Linked DNA regions of Struthio camelus. The protein of the gene in region 2 interacts with the protein of the main gene of each other region in a pairwise test. Links are inferred from orthologs where the notes say so. Each region holds a gene or a part of one and is shown on either strand. Other genes may lie near its edges.

Region 1 (7,082 bases), on a different chromosome or scaffold from region 2:
CCGCCACAGGGACCCAGGCGTCCGGGGCAGCCCCCATCCCCTCCACCCAGCCCCCACGGGGACCCAGGCGTCCGGGGCAGCCCCCATCCCCTCCACCCAGCCCCCACAGGGACCCAGGCGTCCGGGGCAGCCCCCCACTCCCTCCACCCAGCCCCCACGAGGACCCAGGCGTCCGGGGCAGCCCCCCGCCACGGGGACCCAGGTGTCCGGGGCAGCCCCCATCCCCTCCACCCAGCCCCCACGAGGACCCAGGCGTCCGGGGCAGACCCCCATCCCCTCCACCCAGCCCCTGTGGGGACCCGGGCGTCCGGGGCAGCCCCCCATCCCCTCCACCCAGCCCCTGTGGGGACCCGGGCATCTGGGACCCCATCACCCCCCTTGCCCAGCCCTCCCGGGGACCCAGGCGTCCGGGAGGGGACCCAGGCGTCCGGGAGCGTCTCACCTCCAGCTCCTTCTTCTTGGAGAAGAAGACGTTCCTGCGCAGCTGCAGACACGGCTCATCTGGGGGCAGACGGAGTCAGGCGGGGCCCAGGCGTCCGGGGGGCCCCGCGTCTGCCCCCGTGCCCCCTGCAGGGGCCCAGGCGTCCGGGGGGCCCAGGCGTCCGGCTCACCCTGGGCGATGTCGCTGTCGGGGGCGTCGCTGAAGCGCAGCAGCAGCTCCGGCCACTGGCGGCAGAGGCGGAACGGCTGGTGCTTGGGCTTGAGCTGCACCTCTGGGGGCCGGCGTCAGCGGGGGCCCAGGCGTCCGGGCCCGACCCCCGCCCCCCCGAGGGGCCCAGGCGTCCTGACCTGACCCCCACCCCCCGAGGGGCCCAGGCGTCCTGACCTGACCTCCACCCCCCGAGGGACCCAGGCGTCCTGACCGGACCCCCACTCCCCCCCAGGAGGGGCCCAGGCGTCCTGACCTGACCCCCACCCCCCGAGGGGCCCAGGTGTCCTGACCTGACCCCAACCCCCCCCGAGGGGCCCAGGCGTCCTGACCTAACCCCCACCCCCAGAAGGGGCCCAGGCGTCCTGACCTAACCCCCACCCCCATGAGGGGCCCAGGTGTCCAGGCCCGCCCCCCACCCCCCAGGAGGGGCCCAGGCGTCCTGACCTGACCCCCACCCCCCAGGAGGGGCCCAGGCGTCCTGACCTGACCCCCGCCCCCCCGAGGGGCCCAGGTGTCCTGACTTGACCCCCACCCCCCAGGAGGGGCCCAGGCGTCCGGGCCCGACCAACGCCCCCCCGAGGGGCCCAGACGTCCTGACCTGACCCCAACCCCCCCCCAAGAGGGGCCCAGGCGTCCTGACCTGACCCCCACCCCCAGAAGGGGCCCAGGCGTCCTGACCTAACCCCCACCCCCAGGAGGGGCCCAGGTGTCCAGGCCCGCCCCCCACCCCCCATGAGGGGCCCAGGCGTCCTGACCTGACCCCCGCCCCCCCCGAGGGGCCCAGGCGTCCTGACCTAACCCCCACCCCCAGAAGGGGCCCAGGCGTCCTGACCTAACCCCCACCCCCATGAGGGGCCCAGGTGTCCAGGCCCGCCCCCCACCCCCCAGGAGGGGCCCAGGCGTCCTGACCTGACCCCCGCCCCCCAGGAGGGGCCCAGGCGTCCTGACCTGACCCCCGCCCCCCCGAGGGGTCCAGGCGTCCTGACCTAACCCCCACCCCCAGAAGGGGCCCAGGCGTCCTGACCTAACCCCCACCCCCATGAGGGGCCCAGGTGTCCAGGCCCGCCCCCCACCCCCCAGGAGGGGCCCAGGCGTCCTGACCTGACCCCCACCCCCCAGGAGGGGCCCAGGTGTCCTGACTTGACCCCTGCCCCCCCCGAGGGGCCCGGGCGTCCTGACCCCTGCCCCCCCCGAGGGGCCCGGGCGTCCTGAGCCCCAACCACCCCCGAGGGGCCCGGGCGTCCTGGCCGGCCCCGCCCCCCGCGGGCCCGCGGCTCACCGAGCAGGGGCGAGGCGAGCCAGAGCGCCAGGGCCTGGCCGGCGGCCTCGGGCAGGCGCAGGGCGGCGCGCAGGCGCCGCTGCAGCTCGCCGGCCGTCGCCCCGGGCGGGTGCTCCAGCGCCAGCGGCACCGCCGCCCCGTCCGCCAGGAACACCAGCACGTCCGGCCCTGCGGGGGCCCCGGCGTCCGGCTGCGCGGGGCCCGGCCTCCGGGGGCCCCCGCCTCCGGGGGGCCCAGGTGTCCGGGGGGCCCAGCCCGCCCCGCCCGGCCCGCCGCCCGGGCTCCCGCTCCGCCCGGGGCCCAGGTGTCCGAGGGGCCCAGGTGTCCAGGGGGCCCGCTCCGCCCGGGGCCCAGGTGTCCGAGGGGCCCAGGTGTCCAGGGGGCCCGCTCCGCCCGGGGCCCAGGTGTCCAGGGGGCCCAGGTGTCCAGGGGGCCCGCTCCGCCCGGGGCCCAGGTGTCCAGGGGGCCCAGGTGTCCAGGGGGCCCACTCCGCCCGGGGCCCAGGTGTCCGAGGGGCCCAGGTGTCCAGGGGGCCCCGGCATCCGGGGGTCCCGCTCTGTTCATCCCGCTGCCCGGGGCCCCGGTGTCCAGGCTCCCGCTCCGCCCGGGGCCCAGGTGTCCGAGGGGCCCAGGTGTCCGGGGGTGTCCAAGGGGCCCAGGTGTCCGGGGGGCCCGCCCCGCCCGTCCCGCCGCCCGGGCTCCCGCTCCGCCTGGGGCCCAGGTGTCCGGGGGGCCCCGGCGTCCGAGGGGCCCCGGCGTCCAGGCTCCCGCTCCACCTGTCCCACCGCCCCGGCGTCCCCGCTCCGCCCGGGGCCCTGGTGTCCGGGGGGGCCCCGGCGTCCGAGGGACCCAGCTCCGCCCCCACCCCCCGTGAGGGACCCAGGCGTCCTGGTAGCGCCCTCCCCCCCCAGGGCCCCCGCCTGCCCCCAACGGTTCAGGGCCTCCAGGTGCCCCCTCCCCCGGGGGGCCCAGGCGTCCGGGTGCCCCCTCCCCCCGAGGGGCCCAGGCGTCCCGGCCTCTCACCGGTCCCGCTCCCGCGCCGGGCGCCGCCGGGGGGGGCGGGCGGCCCCTCCCCCTCCATGCGCGGGGCCGGGGTCACGCCGGGGTCACGCCGGGGTCACGCCGGGGTCAGGGCGCCCCGGGCTCCGCTCGGCGCCGCCGCCGCCGCCGCCGCGCCGGAAGCGCCGCCGAGGGGGGAGGGGGCGTGGTCCCTCCCGGCCCCGCCCCCCGCAGCCACACGTCATCCACGGCGCCCCGCCCCTTCGCGTCACGTGCCGCCCCCCCCAGCGGCGGTGCTGCCACCTGCCGGCGGGGCGGGCGCGGCACCCGGACGCCTGGGCCCCCCCCAGGCTCCTGGACCCCCCCCCCAGTCTCCTGGGCCCCCCCGGACGCCTGGGCCCCCCCGGATGCCTGGGCCCCCCAGACATCTGGGCCCCCCCCAGTCTCCTGAGCCCCCCCAGACGCCTGGCCCCCCTCCAGTCTTCTAGGCCACCCCCGGACACCTGGGCCCCCCCCCGGTCGCCTGGGCCCCCCAGACACCTGGGCCCCCCGGACGCCTGGGCCCCCACCCCAGTCTCCTGGGCCCCCCCCGGTATCCTGGCCCCCCCAGTCTCCTTCCCCCCCCCCCCCAGTCTCCTGGCCCCCCCCGGCCGCCTGGGCCCCCCCCCGGTCGGCGCAGGAAGAGGCGGAGGCGCGCTACGAAGTTAGAGTCGTGTTTGCGCTGTGCGCGATGGGCGGGGGGGGGCCCGGGGGGGCCCCGGAGTCCCGGAGCGCGGCGGGGGGGGGAAGGCGGGGGGGGTCCTGGGGGGCCCCGGAGTCCGAGAGGGGCCCAGGAGTCCCGGAGTGCAGCGGGGGTCCTGGGGGGCCCCGGAGTCCGAGGGGGCCCAGGAGTCTGAGAGGGGCCCAGGAGTCCCGGAGCGCGGCGGGGGTCCTGGGGGGCCCCGGAGTCCGAGGGGGCCCAGGAGTCTGAGAGGGGCCCAGGAGTCCCGGAGTGCAGCGGGGGTCCTGGGGGGCCCCGGAGTCCGAGAGGGGCCCAGGAGTCCGAGAGGGGCCCAGGAGTCCTGGAGTGCAGCGGGGGTCCTGGGGGGCCCCGGAGTCCGAGGGGGCCCAGGAGTCCGAGGGGGGCCCAGGAGTCCCGGAGCGCGGCGGCGGGCGGGGGGGGAGGGGGGGGCGGACCCCGGTTTCTCGTTTCTTTTATTGTCGTCGTCGGTTTTGTCCGAAATTAAAAAAAACAAACAAACAAAAACCGGCAGCGGAAAACGGGGGGAAACGGGTAAAACCGAACGGAAGAAAAAGAGTAAAAACGGCGCCTCCCCCCCCCCAACGCGGCCCGAGGGGGGGCCCCAACCTGGCGCCATTTTGTGGGGGGGACCCCAACCCGGCGCCATTTTGTGTGTTTGGGGGGGGGGGGCACGACCCCGCATGGCCGGGCGCCATGTTGTGGGGGGGCGACACCCCGTTTCGGGGGCCCCTCGGCGTCCTCGGTCCGGGCGGGGGGCGCTCCGGCCCGGCCGCCATCTCGTGGGGGTCCCCGCAGGGCCGGGGGCCGCCTGGGGAACGGGGGCCCCCCGCCTCAGTCGCCATTTTGTGGCGGGACCCCCCACGCCGGGCGCCATTTTGTGGCGGGACCCCCACACCGGGCGCCATTTTGTGGTGGGACCCTCCCCAGTTGCCATTTTGTGGCAAGACCCCCCACACCAGACACCATTTTGTGGCGGGACCCCCACACCGGGCGCCATTTTGTGGCGGGACCCCCACACTGGGCACCATTTTGTGGCGGGACCCCCCACACCAGATGCCATTTTGTGGTGGGACCCCCACACTGGGTGCCATTTTGTGGTGGGACCCTCCCCAGTTGCCATTTTGTGGCAAGACCCCCCACACCAGACACCATTTTGTGGCGGGACCCCCACACCGGGCGCCATTTTGTGGCGGGACCCCCACACTGGCACCATTTTGTGGCGGGACCCCCACACTGGGCACCATTTTGTGGCGGGACCCCCACACCAGATGCCATTTTGTGGTGGGACCCCCACACTGGGTGCCATTTTGTGGTGGGACCCTCCCCAGTTGCCATTTTGTGGCAAGACCCCCCACACCAGACGCCATTTTGTGGCGGGACCCGCACACCAGACGCCATTTTGTGGCCAGATCCCCACACTGGCACCATTTTGTGGTGGGACCCCCACACTGGGCGCCATTTTGTGGCCAGATCCCCACACTGGGCGCCATTTTGTGGCCAGATCCCCACATCAGACACCATTTTGTGGCCAGATCCCCACACCAGACACCATTTTGCGGCAATACCCCCACGCCAGGCGCCATTTTGTGGCAAGACCCCCCCCTGCGCGGCCGGACGCCGTTGGGTGTGGAGGGGACGCCGCGTCGGTCATCGTTCGGGGAGGGGGGGACCCGCCGCGCCGTCGCTCCGGCTTGGGGACCCCCCCACGTCGGTCACTGTCTCGCGGAGGGCGCCCGCGTCGCCGGGTGCCATGTTGTGATGGGGGCCCACGTCGGGCGCCATTTTGCGGTGAAGGTGGGACCCCCACGTCGGGCGCCATTTTGTGGTGAGGGTGGGACCCCCACGTCCAGCGCCATTTTGTGGTGAGGGTGGGGGAGACCCCCACGTTGGGCGCCATTTTGCGGTGAACGTGAGACCCCCCCACGTCGGACGCCATTTTGCGATGTAGGTGGGACCCCCACGTCGGGCGCCATTTTGTGGTGAGGGTGGGGGAGACCCCCACGTCAGGCGCCATTTTGCGGTGAAGGTGGGACCCCCACGTCGGGCGCCATTTTGTGGTGAGGGTGGGACCCCCACGTCCAGCGCCATTTTGTGATGAGGGTGGGGGAGACCCCCACGTCGGGCGCCATTTTGCGATGTAGGTGGGACCCCCACGTCGGGCGCCATTTTGTGGTGAGGGTGGGGGAGACCCCCACGTCGGGCGCCATTTTGCGGTGAAGGTGGGACCCCCACGTCGGGCGCCATTTTGTGGTGAAACTGGGACCCCCACGTCCAGCGCCATTTTGTGATGAGGGTGGGGGGGACCCCCACGTCGGGCGCCATTTTGCGATGTAGGTGGGACCCCCACGTCGGGCGCCATTTTGCGATGGGGAGGGGGGAGATCCCCCCCCCCGGGGCCGGTCTGCGTTTCGTCGGCCGCCGCGCTGCGAGGAGGGGGCACCAGCGGGGGGGGGCGGGGGCCGTCCCGCGCCGGGGCCGTCGTTTCGGGGCGACCCTCCGCGGCGTCGCTCCGGGGTCGGGGGGGACGACACATCCCACGTCGGTCTTCGCTGGCCTCGGGGTCGGGGTGATGGTGGTGGTGGTTGGGGGGGGGACGTCACCCCGCGTCGCCGCTCCGGGACGGGGGGGCCCCGCTCGGCTCCGGTTTCGGTGTACGGGGGGCCCCCGCTCAGCTCCAGTTTCGGTGTACGGGGGCCCCGCTCGGCTCCAGTTTCGGGGTACAGGGGGCCCCGCTCGGCTCCGGTTTCGGTGTACGGGGGCCCCCCGCTCGGCTCCGGTTTTGGGGAACGGGGGGCCCCGCTCGGCTCCGGTTTTGGGGAACGGGGCCCCCCGCTCAGCTCCAGTTTCGGGGTACAGGGGGCCCCGCTCGGCTCCGGTTTCGGGGTACAGGGCCCCCCGCTCGGCTCCGGTTTTGGTGTACGGGGCCCCCCGCTCGGCTCCAGTTTCGGGGTACAGGGGGCCCCGCTCGGCTCCGGTTTCGGTGTACGGGGGGGCCCTGCTCGGCTCCGGTTTCGGTGTACGGGGCCCCCCGCTCGGCTCCGGTTTTGGGGAACGGGGGCCCCGCTCGGCTCCGGTTTCGGGGGACGGGGGGCCCCACTTGGCTCCAGTTTCGGTGTACGGGGGGACCCCGTGCAGCTCCAGTTTCGGGGTACAGGGGGCCCCGCTCGGCTCCGGTTTCGGTGTACGGGGGCCCCCGCTCGGCTCCGGTTTCGGTGTACGGGGGCCCCGCTCGGCTCCGGTTTCGGGGGATGGGGGGCCCCACTTGGCTCCGGTTTCGGGGTACAGGGGGCCCCCCGCTCGGCTCCGGTTTCGGGGCGCTCACACGTAATACTCCTTGTCCTTGTTTTTCTTCCCCTTGGCAGGCGCCTTGGCCGGGCCGGGCGGCTTCTCCTTGCCGGGGACGGCGGCGG
Region 2 (7,914 bases):
CATAGCATTGTATTTGCTGCCTGCTGCTGCTTTGACGTCTAACCTGTGCCAACAGGGGAGAGGCTGTAATAGGGATGGGAAATGTTGTTTGCTGATAAATCTCTTATGGCTTCCTACATCAGAACCACAAGGTGTTCTGGAGCATCTAAGCCACAATGTTGGGACCAAGGTAGCAAGATTGTTCAGACTTCTCTCACTCTATACTTTAAAAAAAAAAAAAACTAAAAAAAACTAAAAATCCACTCTTAAAAATTCAGAGGGCATGCCCAGTTTTGTCAGAGTGTGTCCAGATGCTGTTTCTTGGTATATTATTGCGTATAATCAATTACGGCTGAAGCATGAAAGCTAAAATTTTAGAATTTCACACCTTCTATAGATACTCCAGGCAGAGCAAAACATTGCAGTCCCGTTGGGCATCCATGCCTATTAGGATTGTCATGCTTAAATAAGCATAAAATTAAATGAGGAGGAAGGAAAAACTGTTTAGATATAACCGTTGGGCTGCTTCAGTGTCGAAAAGACCACATTTCTTCACCAAAGTGTTTGCCCGTGACGTTCTGGTTTAGAAATCTGGTCTCTGATCTAACCAAAACAGCCCAAGCAATGGTCGGCTGCTGTTTTCACTCTATGCAAACCTCTGAGATTCCCAGATGTATATTCAGGCTCACCCTGAAATTTTCACCTTAACTAAAAAAAAAAAGAATACTCCATGGGAGGGCTGCAGCAAAGGTGGAAATGTGTGAAGGGCTGAATAACAATGTGATTCTCAGAAGTGAGAGGTCTGCACTGCAGCTTCAGAAACTGCGTAAGACCTGCCTGCTTGCAAATATTGCTTTTTGTAGTGTAAGTAAAAGACAGAATCAACTAATGTGAGGCAGAGGAGGAATTTAGCGCCATAACTCTAAAATCACATTGCAGGTAAGCCGGCTGCCTAACACTAGAGGCCGCCAAGCCTTGCAAACACCTCTGTTTAAGGGTCTTGAGGAGGAGCCTGGAGCTGTGTCCGTGGGCAGGTACAGAGCCATCGTGGTAGCAGTAGCTTGATGTTTTTTCACTGCTCCGTCCAGTAGGCTCGAGAAACGTAGTGTCCTACATAGGCCTCTTGAGAGTCGCTCAGCAAGCCCAGGACGTGCCAGCATAACTGGCTTTTCATAGGCTATGGCTGCGGTCCTTTGCGGGCATCTTGGGGAAGCAGAGAGGTCCTGCCCTGACTACCTTCTTAGCTCGTGGCACCCTCAAACCCACAGGAGAGCTTCCCGTCAACCTCCATCTCCTGGGGATGTAAAGAGGCAGCTCTGTGTGGCTCAGCTTTTCCCGCTGGCGTTGTTCCATTGTACAGCAAAGGATTCACAATTCATTTGGAAAGAGGTGAGAGGGACCATGAGGCTACAGCCCTCACGTTGTATTTGTCCCCTCCAAGAGGAGAGCACTAAGCTCTGGTGTCTGCTTCTGAGACTGGGAATTAGGTGTTTATGTGCCTTTGAGATCTGGATCTAGGCCTCAGTCTGTTGGAGAGCTTAAATGCAAACTGTTCCTGGAGGAATGGAAGTCTGAAACCGTTTTCCTGCCAATCCACAGTCAGATGCTATTATCATTGCTTAAAGAAACCCGAAGGGTTCAAATATAGCATAACTTCTGTTTGCCTGCTTCTAATGCCAGGAGATGTAAAAGCACCCTAAAGGGCTTCTAATGCCAGGAGATGTAAAAGCACCCTAAAGGTTTGTCCGTCCATATTTTCTTAATTGAGTTATTGCTCATTGCTGTTGAAAGTGAACACAAAAAGGTGTTCCTCCTCTTAAGCCATAGCTCAGAATAGGACAGTTTAAGGATGGAAATCCAAATTTCAGCTTATGGTTTGTTCAGAAATATATACATGGAACTTGATTCCTTCAGTGTTTTCTAGAACACTTTACAAAGCCGGGTTCACGACAAATTAACAGGATCTGCGTTCTTACAGATCCTATGGTCTACACTTTTAGTAACATAAATATGCTCTGAACTGCAAAAATGCTATGCCTTTCTAACCCTTGGAAACCAAAAATTGCAAAACTTAGGACCTACTGATGTTTTTTAAAAAATATCTTTGATTAATTTCTAATAAAGGATGGAAGGGCATCTTTTCCGTTCAAGAGTGGAAGTTTAGAATTGGGCATTACAGATTATTTAGTGAGAGCTGAAGTTAAAAATAACACAAATGTTTGCAGGGACAGTAAAAGACACTGCTCTGTAGTAAACAAAGAGGTATTTCTGGTTTGGCTTCTGAGTCCTTTCTTCTCAGGGTGTCAGCTGGCAGTTTGGCTGTGTAGAAAACTGAGGACAAGAATGCTGTTTGCAAGAGAATCGAGTTTCTGCAACTAAAATGGGATAAGTGCCAAATGAATGAAAGGTTGTTCTATGTCTGTATTAATTTTTGTTATAAACATAATTTTTGGGGAAAGGCCTTGCCCCTTCTGGCTACCTCTTTGCCAAATTCTTTCATTACCTTTGATGTACAATATGTGTGGCTTCCTCATTATGACGAATTCTCATCAAACTAAAACTCATAACATAGATGACAGAATTTTTCAGCTTTCTGTTGGCTGATTGGAAATTGCCTTCAAGTTCTAAAGACATTTTGAATACAAAGATGGTGAATAAAACTAGTCAGAAATTCATACTGTGTTAAAACACAGCGATCCCTTTCTGTTTACAATGTCAGAGAAGCAATCTATCAGAAAACAAGTTTGGCGTTTTTTCTTCATTTCATTTTTTTTCTTATGTTGAGAATAAAACTCTAACCCCACCTGGTCCCTGCTGAAGTTAACGCACACATTGACCTGAACCTACTCAGAGAATCAAGGTTTTCAAAAATCATTAACAGTAAATTTCCATACTTCAAATTTGGCTCTAGTTAGCTAGGTTAGTTGGCTTCAGTGGACTTGCCAAGAAGTAATTGATTAAAGGTTAGCAAACAGGCATAATAATGTTTCAGAAGAATATGAACTATAGGTGTGCTGGCTCCTACAGAATGCATAGAAATAGAAAGCAGCAAAAACTTAGTAAAGGTTACTTATATATGCTATAAACATAATAATATGCTTATATATTATACTACATAATATCAGTATAATAATTTATGTTTTAATGAATTTTTACAAAATCAAATGACACATGATGTTATGGAGGTGAAAAAAAGGAATTGGATAAATTTGGTGACTATCAAATAGAGTTTTGATTGCAACCTCTAGCACAGTAAGCCCACCTGTCCAAAAAAAAAAAAAAAAAAGACTATTGGAAGCTCAGTTCATGAAATAAATATTTAATTGTTCTATTTTTGTATTTTCTTCCTAAGCCTACACCAGTGGTCACTCTTGGGGACAGGGCACTAAGTTAAACGGACTTCAGACACGACCCATTTAGGTTAAGTGTGAAGAACAGAGTGGTCTGTTTTGAGCATTGTCAACTTTTTATCTGTTTATATTTAGTTCTAGTTTTTGACTTCAGCAAGCTGGAAGAGAACTCAAAAAGGAGTGAGGAAATGGTAGGAGCTGAAAAGAGCAGTCTCATAATTTGCAGGAAAGTTAGAGAAAAGAAAATTGTCATGGACAGACTACACAGCCCTCTACCAGAGTTTGAAAAGCAACCGCAATACGATTTGTTTGGAGAGAGAAGGGGAAAAAAAAGCATTAATAAAAAAGAAGTTTTTCACGCACACTTGGTTTCCTAGCTGTTACTTCCTTTCTACCCAGACTCCTAGCGGCTCTTCTGGGTCTCTTGTCTCAGTGGGAGATTTGCTCTCCTACAGCAGGGGGCCTTTCTCCTTGACACGGTTTGTTGATTCTTCATCAGGAATCCATGGAAGGGGGTCAGGTTTGGTACTCGCATTAGCGATTTGGGTTCCTTACCGCTGCGTGCTTGGGAATTCACTCTCTGAGCTGGGACTGCATCTGAATGACCCCTGTGGCGCGAATGCGTGTCAGTGGCCCTTCTCATCTGTCCCGGCCATTCGTCACACCTCCCTGCAGAAGCAGTTGTTCCCGAAGCTACAACCGTGACAACCCAAACCGAGCACAGCTCTTCGGTTCCCGTGATTTGTTAAATCCTTTAGGGCAGCGCTCAGCTTGGGCTGGGCCTTGCGGGTTTGGGAGGAGAAGCAGCCGTAGGAGCGGGGGCACTGCTGTGTGCTGGGCATGGGCAGCTCCAGCGCAGCGGGCTCTCCCGGTGCCGGGCGGGAGGACACACGCGCGGCCCCCTCGGCGCTGCGCTGCGCCCCGCCGCCCTCCCCCAGAGCGCGCCAGGCCGGGGGCTCCCCACGGCTCCCCACGGCCCCCCTTTTCCGCGCGACCATGCCAGCTGCGATATGAATTCCTCCTGACGTCACGTTTAAAAAAACGCCACTGCCAAAAATGCCACAAGCTCACTTTTAACTCTGCACCTTCATCAAGGCAAACAACCCTGCCTTACGAATCTGAATCAAACTCAGCAACTTTAGTGGGCTCATTATTACCCCTGGAAAGCCACACTGCCTAAGCGGATTTGTCCCCCCCCCCCCCAGAAAAGCCAGCCGCTGTACTGCCCAGTAAATCAGCTGAACGGGAGATGTGGAAAACGAAACTCTGCTGTATTTCACGTTAAGCGAAACTTTTTCTTAAAACAGCTTCGGGCCGTTTGCCACAGGGCAGTCCCGCCCGCTGCAGCGGGGCGAGAGCAGGCAGCGCCGCGTTAACGCCGCGACGACCGCGCTCCGCTGTCACTTCCCTGCGAAGCTCGCAGCAACCCCGAGCCAAAGCCGGGAAGCAGGAGGCGGCGCGGACAGGCCGGAGCCGGGGCCGAGGCGGCGGCGCGGAGCGGACGGAGGCGCCACCCCGACCCTTCCCGCTGGGCCTCGCCCCTCCCAAGATGGCGGCGGCCCCGCCCCGCGCGGGCGGTGCCCGACCCCCCCCCTCCGCGGCGGCGGCGGTGGCGGTGACGGGTGTGTGACCGCGGCTGCGGTGGGCAGAGGGCGGGAGGCGGCAGCGACTGGAGCGGAGGGAGCTGCGAGCGCCGGGCGGCGCGGGGTGAGGAGCGCGGCGGCCGGGGCCGGGCGGGGAGCGAGAGGAAAACTTTCCTGGCGGAGCCCCTTCGCTGCCGGCCGGGGCTCCGGCCGCCCTTGCGCGGCCATGTTGGGAGCCGGGGGCTGCCTGGCGGGGGAAGGAGCGGCCCCGGCGGCGGCGGCGGCGGGCTCCGCCGAGCCCCGTGGGCGGCCTCGGCCCGGGCTGGCGGCGCTGGGGTGCCGGCCGGGCGCGGCGGGGAGGGCGCGGGCAGCCCGCGGCGGAGCGGGGCGGCGGCGGCGCGCCGGGCTGGCTGTGGGGCAGGGCAGCGGCGGCCGGCGCTTGTTTTTTTCCCCCCGAGGTGCCGACAGAGTTGCCGAAGCGAGTTCGTCTTTACAAGGGGCGCGGGGGGGGGGAGAAGCGCAGCCCGAGCCGCGGCCGCCCCGAGGCGTTACATAAGTGCGCGGGGCTCCTGGAGCCGTGACGGGCGGCGGGGCCGGGGCGCCCGGCGGGAGCGGCTGTGTGCGGGCGGTGCGCGGAGCCGCCTGCGCGAGCTGCAGCGGCCCTCGCCGAGCGCGGTAGCGAGGGCGGCGGCGGCGGCGGCGGCGCGGGCGTCCTGGTAACTTTCAGCTACTCGTCGTTTTCCAGGCGAGCAGAGCGGCTGCCCTGCCGAAACCTTCTGGATGCTGTGGCTTTAAAAAAACAAAACAGACAAACAGGTGAAAGCGTGGAGGGCGCATCTGTCAGCGGGAAACTTGCTACTTCGCTGTTAAATTTGCCTCTCTTGGAGAGGAACGCGACTGGTCTGCTTAAAATACCTGGGGCGCCTAAGTTGTCCGAGAGCGGTTCGAGCTAAGGCATCTTGGCCGCAGGTTTTCCCTTTTGCCTGCGCTGCGTGCAGAAAACCCCGGGTTTATAAGTAGCTAGTGAATGAACTGTTCTTCATGGTGGGGGGGGGAACCCCAAAGAAACAAGCAAAAAAACCCAGTGAATTGGTCTACGGAGAGTGCATCCTGGCGTCTGATTTGTCCTGATTAACAAAAAATGGCTTTGGCTTAAGTTTTGACGTTAAGCACCAGTGCAATAGTTTGCGATACCCTAAAACTACCTGTTATATCGCTTAACCACATATTAAGACTTCCTTTGCTTCTGTTTCGATCGCGTGGCTGAGAGCGGTGCCGGAGGCAGCATTAACCTCTGACTCAGTCTGTGCCGCGTGCCGGGTGATTACTCTGGGGGTTAATGCTTTTTGGACAAACGCTATGTTTCAGGCTCTCATGTGCCTATCGCTTTGCCTACTCTATTAACCTTGTCTAAACCTAAACCGACTCTGAGATCAAACCCACAAAACTGGAATCAAATTTGGAACTGAGATTACTAATTTCTCTTACTTTCTCTAAGTAAAGGAAAAACTTAAATACGCAGCTTTCACATTCTAAGAATAGTAGATTTTGAATTATTTTCAGGGATGGTCACCTGAAAGAAGGGAAGTATTTAAAGACTGCAGTGTAATTACTCAGTGTTGAGCTCCTACAGATGCTTGTTTTATGTGAGCACATCAGTGTGAGAAAGGAATCAAGTTTTTAGCAATGAATGCAAATTTTTTCGCTTTTGAACTATGTGGTCTAAATACTATTGACTAATCAGGTGAGAATCCTTATGTAGTTAAAGGTCATGCATATCAGCTCAACTTACTTAATAATACTTTCCAGGGTGTTTCAGGGCAGTGTAGCTTATGTTCGAAATGGCATGCTAGCTAAGTGTCCAAAGTGCAGTGAAAGTGAAGCCTTGTAAGCATTACTCCCAAATTCTTCCTTCTAAATGTAAATAGACCATGTGGCGTTTGGAGTGATTAAGAGGTTTGTTCTGTGTAGAAAGCTACACAGAGGAATTCCCTTAAATGCTAGATGAAAACTAGTGAGTAGAAATTTGGGACTGGGGAAGCTGGATCACTTTCCTGCTTCCTATCTTTTACAATTAAGCAGAGCGATATCTTTTCGTCTGGAAGCAAGTTTTCATTAAAACCAGGAAGGAAATCGTTCTTTAGCAAGGGCTACGTTCTGTTTTCCTTAAATTATGGACAGAGATTGTAAGTTAGTATTGCGTACTTCTCTGGACTAACAGAAGATCTACCGTTAACCTCCTGAAGCCCATTAGTTTACGCGTTTACAGTAGAACGGTTATTGTGTTCAGATGGCGTTGCGACTTCTTGGTTTCGCCGTTGTGCTTATGGATGCAGGAAGGCTTCTTCTTGTCTGGTCAGAGCAGTAAAAGCAGCCTGGAAGGGCAGTTTTTAATGAGCCGGGATATCGCAGAGCGCGGCAGGCACATCTAGTTTACCCTGCCAGGAAGAGCCGAGGGAGTGCAATAAGGCAGGGTGTTGCCTGCAGGGTAGGATATGAACGGTTTTTTGTTACACTCGGAGCGTTTGTGGTGCTTTATCTTCCCCAAAGGGGGCTAGACATGTTAAAATGAAAGCTTAGGGTCGAGATATGGCGTGTCGATGAGGCAGAGTTGTTTTTACGCCTGAAGATATCATTTTCTGAAAAATTAGTGGTAACTAAAATGTTAGAAGTATTGGCCAAGCAAACAAACGGTATGCAAGTTTTTATTTTTAAAGGCCATTTGTTAGTGGGTGATGTCAAATAAGGAACTCCAGTGTTAACTGCGGATAAGTTTGTTAGATGTTGGTAGGTAAGAAAGTTAGTTAACTTAATGCTCTCTCTTTTTTTTTGTATTAAGAAGTTAAACTTTATTCTGTACTACTTTAAGTTCGCAAGGCATGCTTTTGACTTATTCCAAGCTCTGTTAATATTCAAGATTATTTTTCCATTTAACTCATGTGGATTTTTTTTTTTACGGTTGTTGATATCTGTGTATATATGTTTTGCTACTTTCATAGACT

Evidence for each region.
Region 1: the proteins of PLEKHF2 (region 2) and FRMD8 interact in binary tests that used the Homo sapiens proteins (3 or more experiments, as listed by UniProt). The two-hybrid records come from large-scale screens. The link is inferred for Struthio camelus from reciprocal best matches to the Homo sapiens genes PLEKHF2 and FRMD8.

Annotation. Positions count from the first base shown.
Region 1 is NC_090976.1:75,461-82,542, forward strand, and holds the start of FRMD8 (FERM domain-containing protein 8), read right to left. Parts: upstream 3,094-7,082; 5' UTR 3,013-3,093; coding exon 2,955-3,012; intron 2,100-2,954; coding exon 1,932-2,099; intron 714-1,931; coding exon 612-713; intron 502-611; coding exon 443-501; intron 1-442. UniProt on the Homo sapiens protein: Promotes the cell surface stability of iRhom1/RHBDF1 and iRhom2/RHBDF2 and prevents their degradation via the endolysosomal pathway. By acting on iRhoms, involved in ADAM17-mediated shedding of TNF, amphiregulin/AREG, HBEGF and TGFA from the cell surface.
Region 2 is NC_090943.1:148,700,388-148,708,301, reverse strand, and holds the start of PLEKHF2 (pleckstrin homology domain-containing family F member 2), read left to right. Parts: upstream 1-4,907; 5' UTR 4,908-4,951; exon of another isoform or gene 4,952-5,036; intron 5,037-7,914. UniProt on the Homo sapiens protein: May play a role in early endosome fusion upstream of RAB5, hence regulating receptor trafficking and fluid-phase transport. Enhances cellular sensitivity to TNF-induced apoptosis.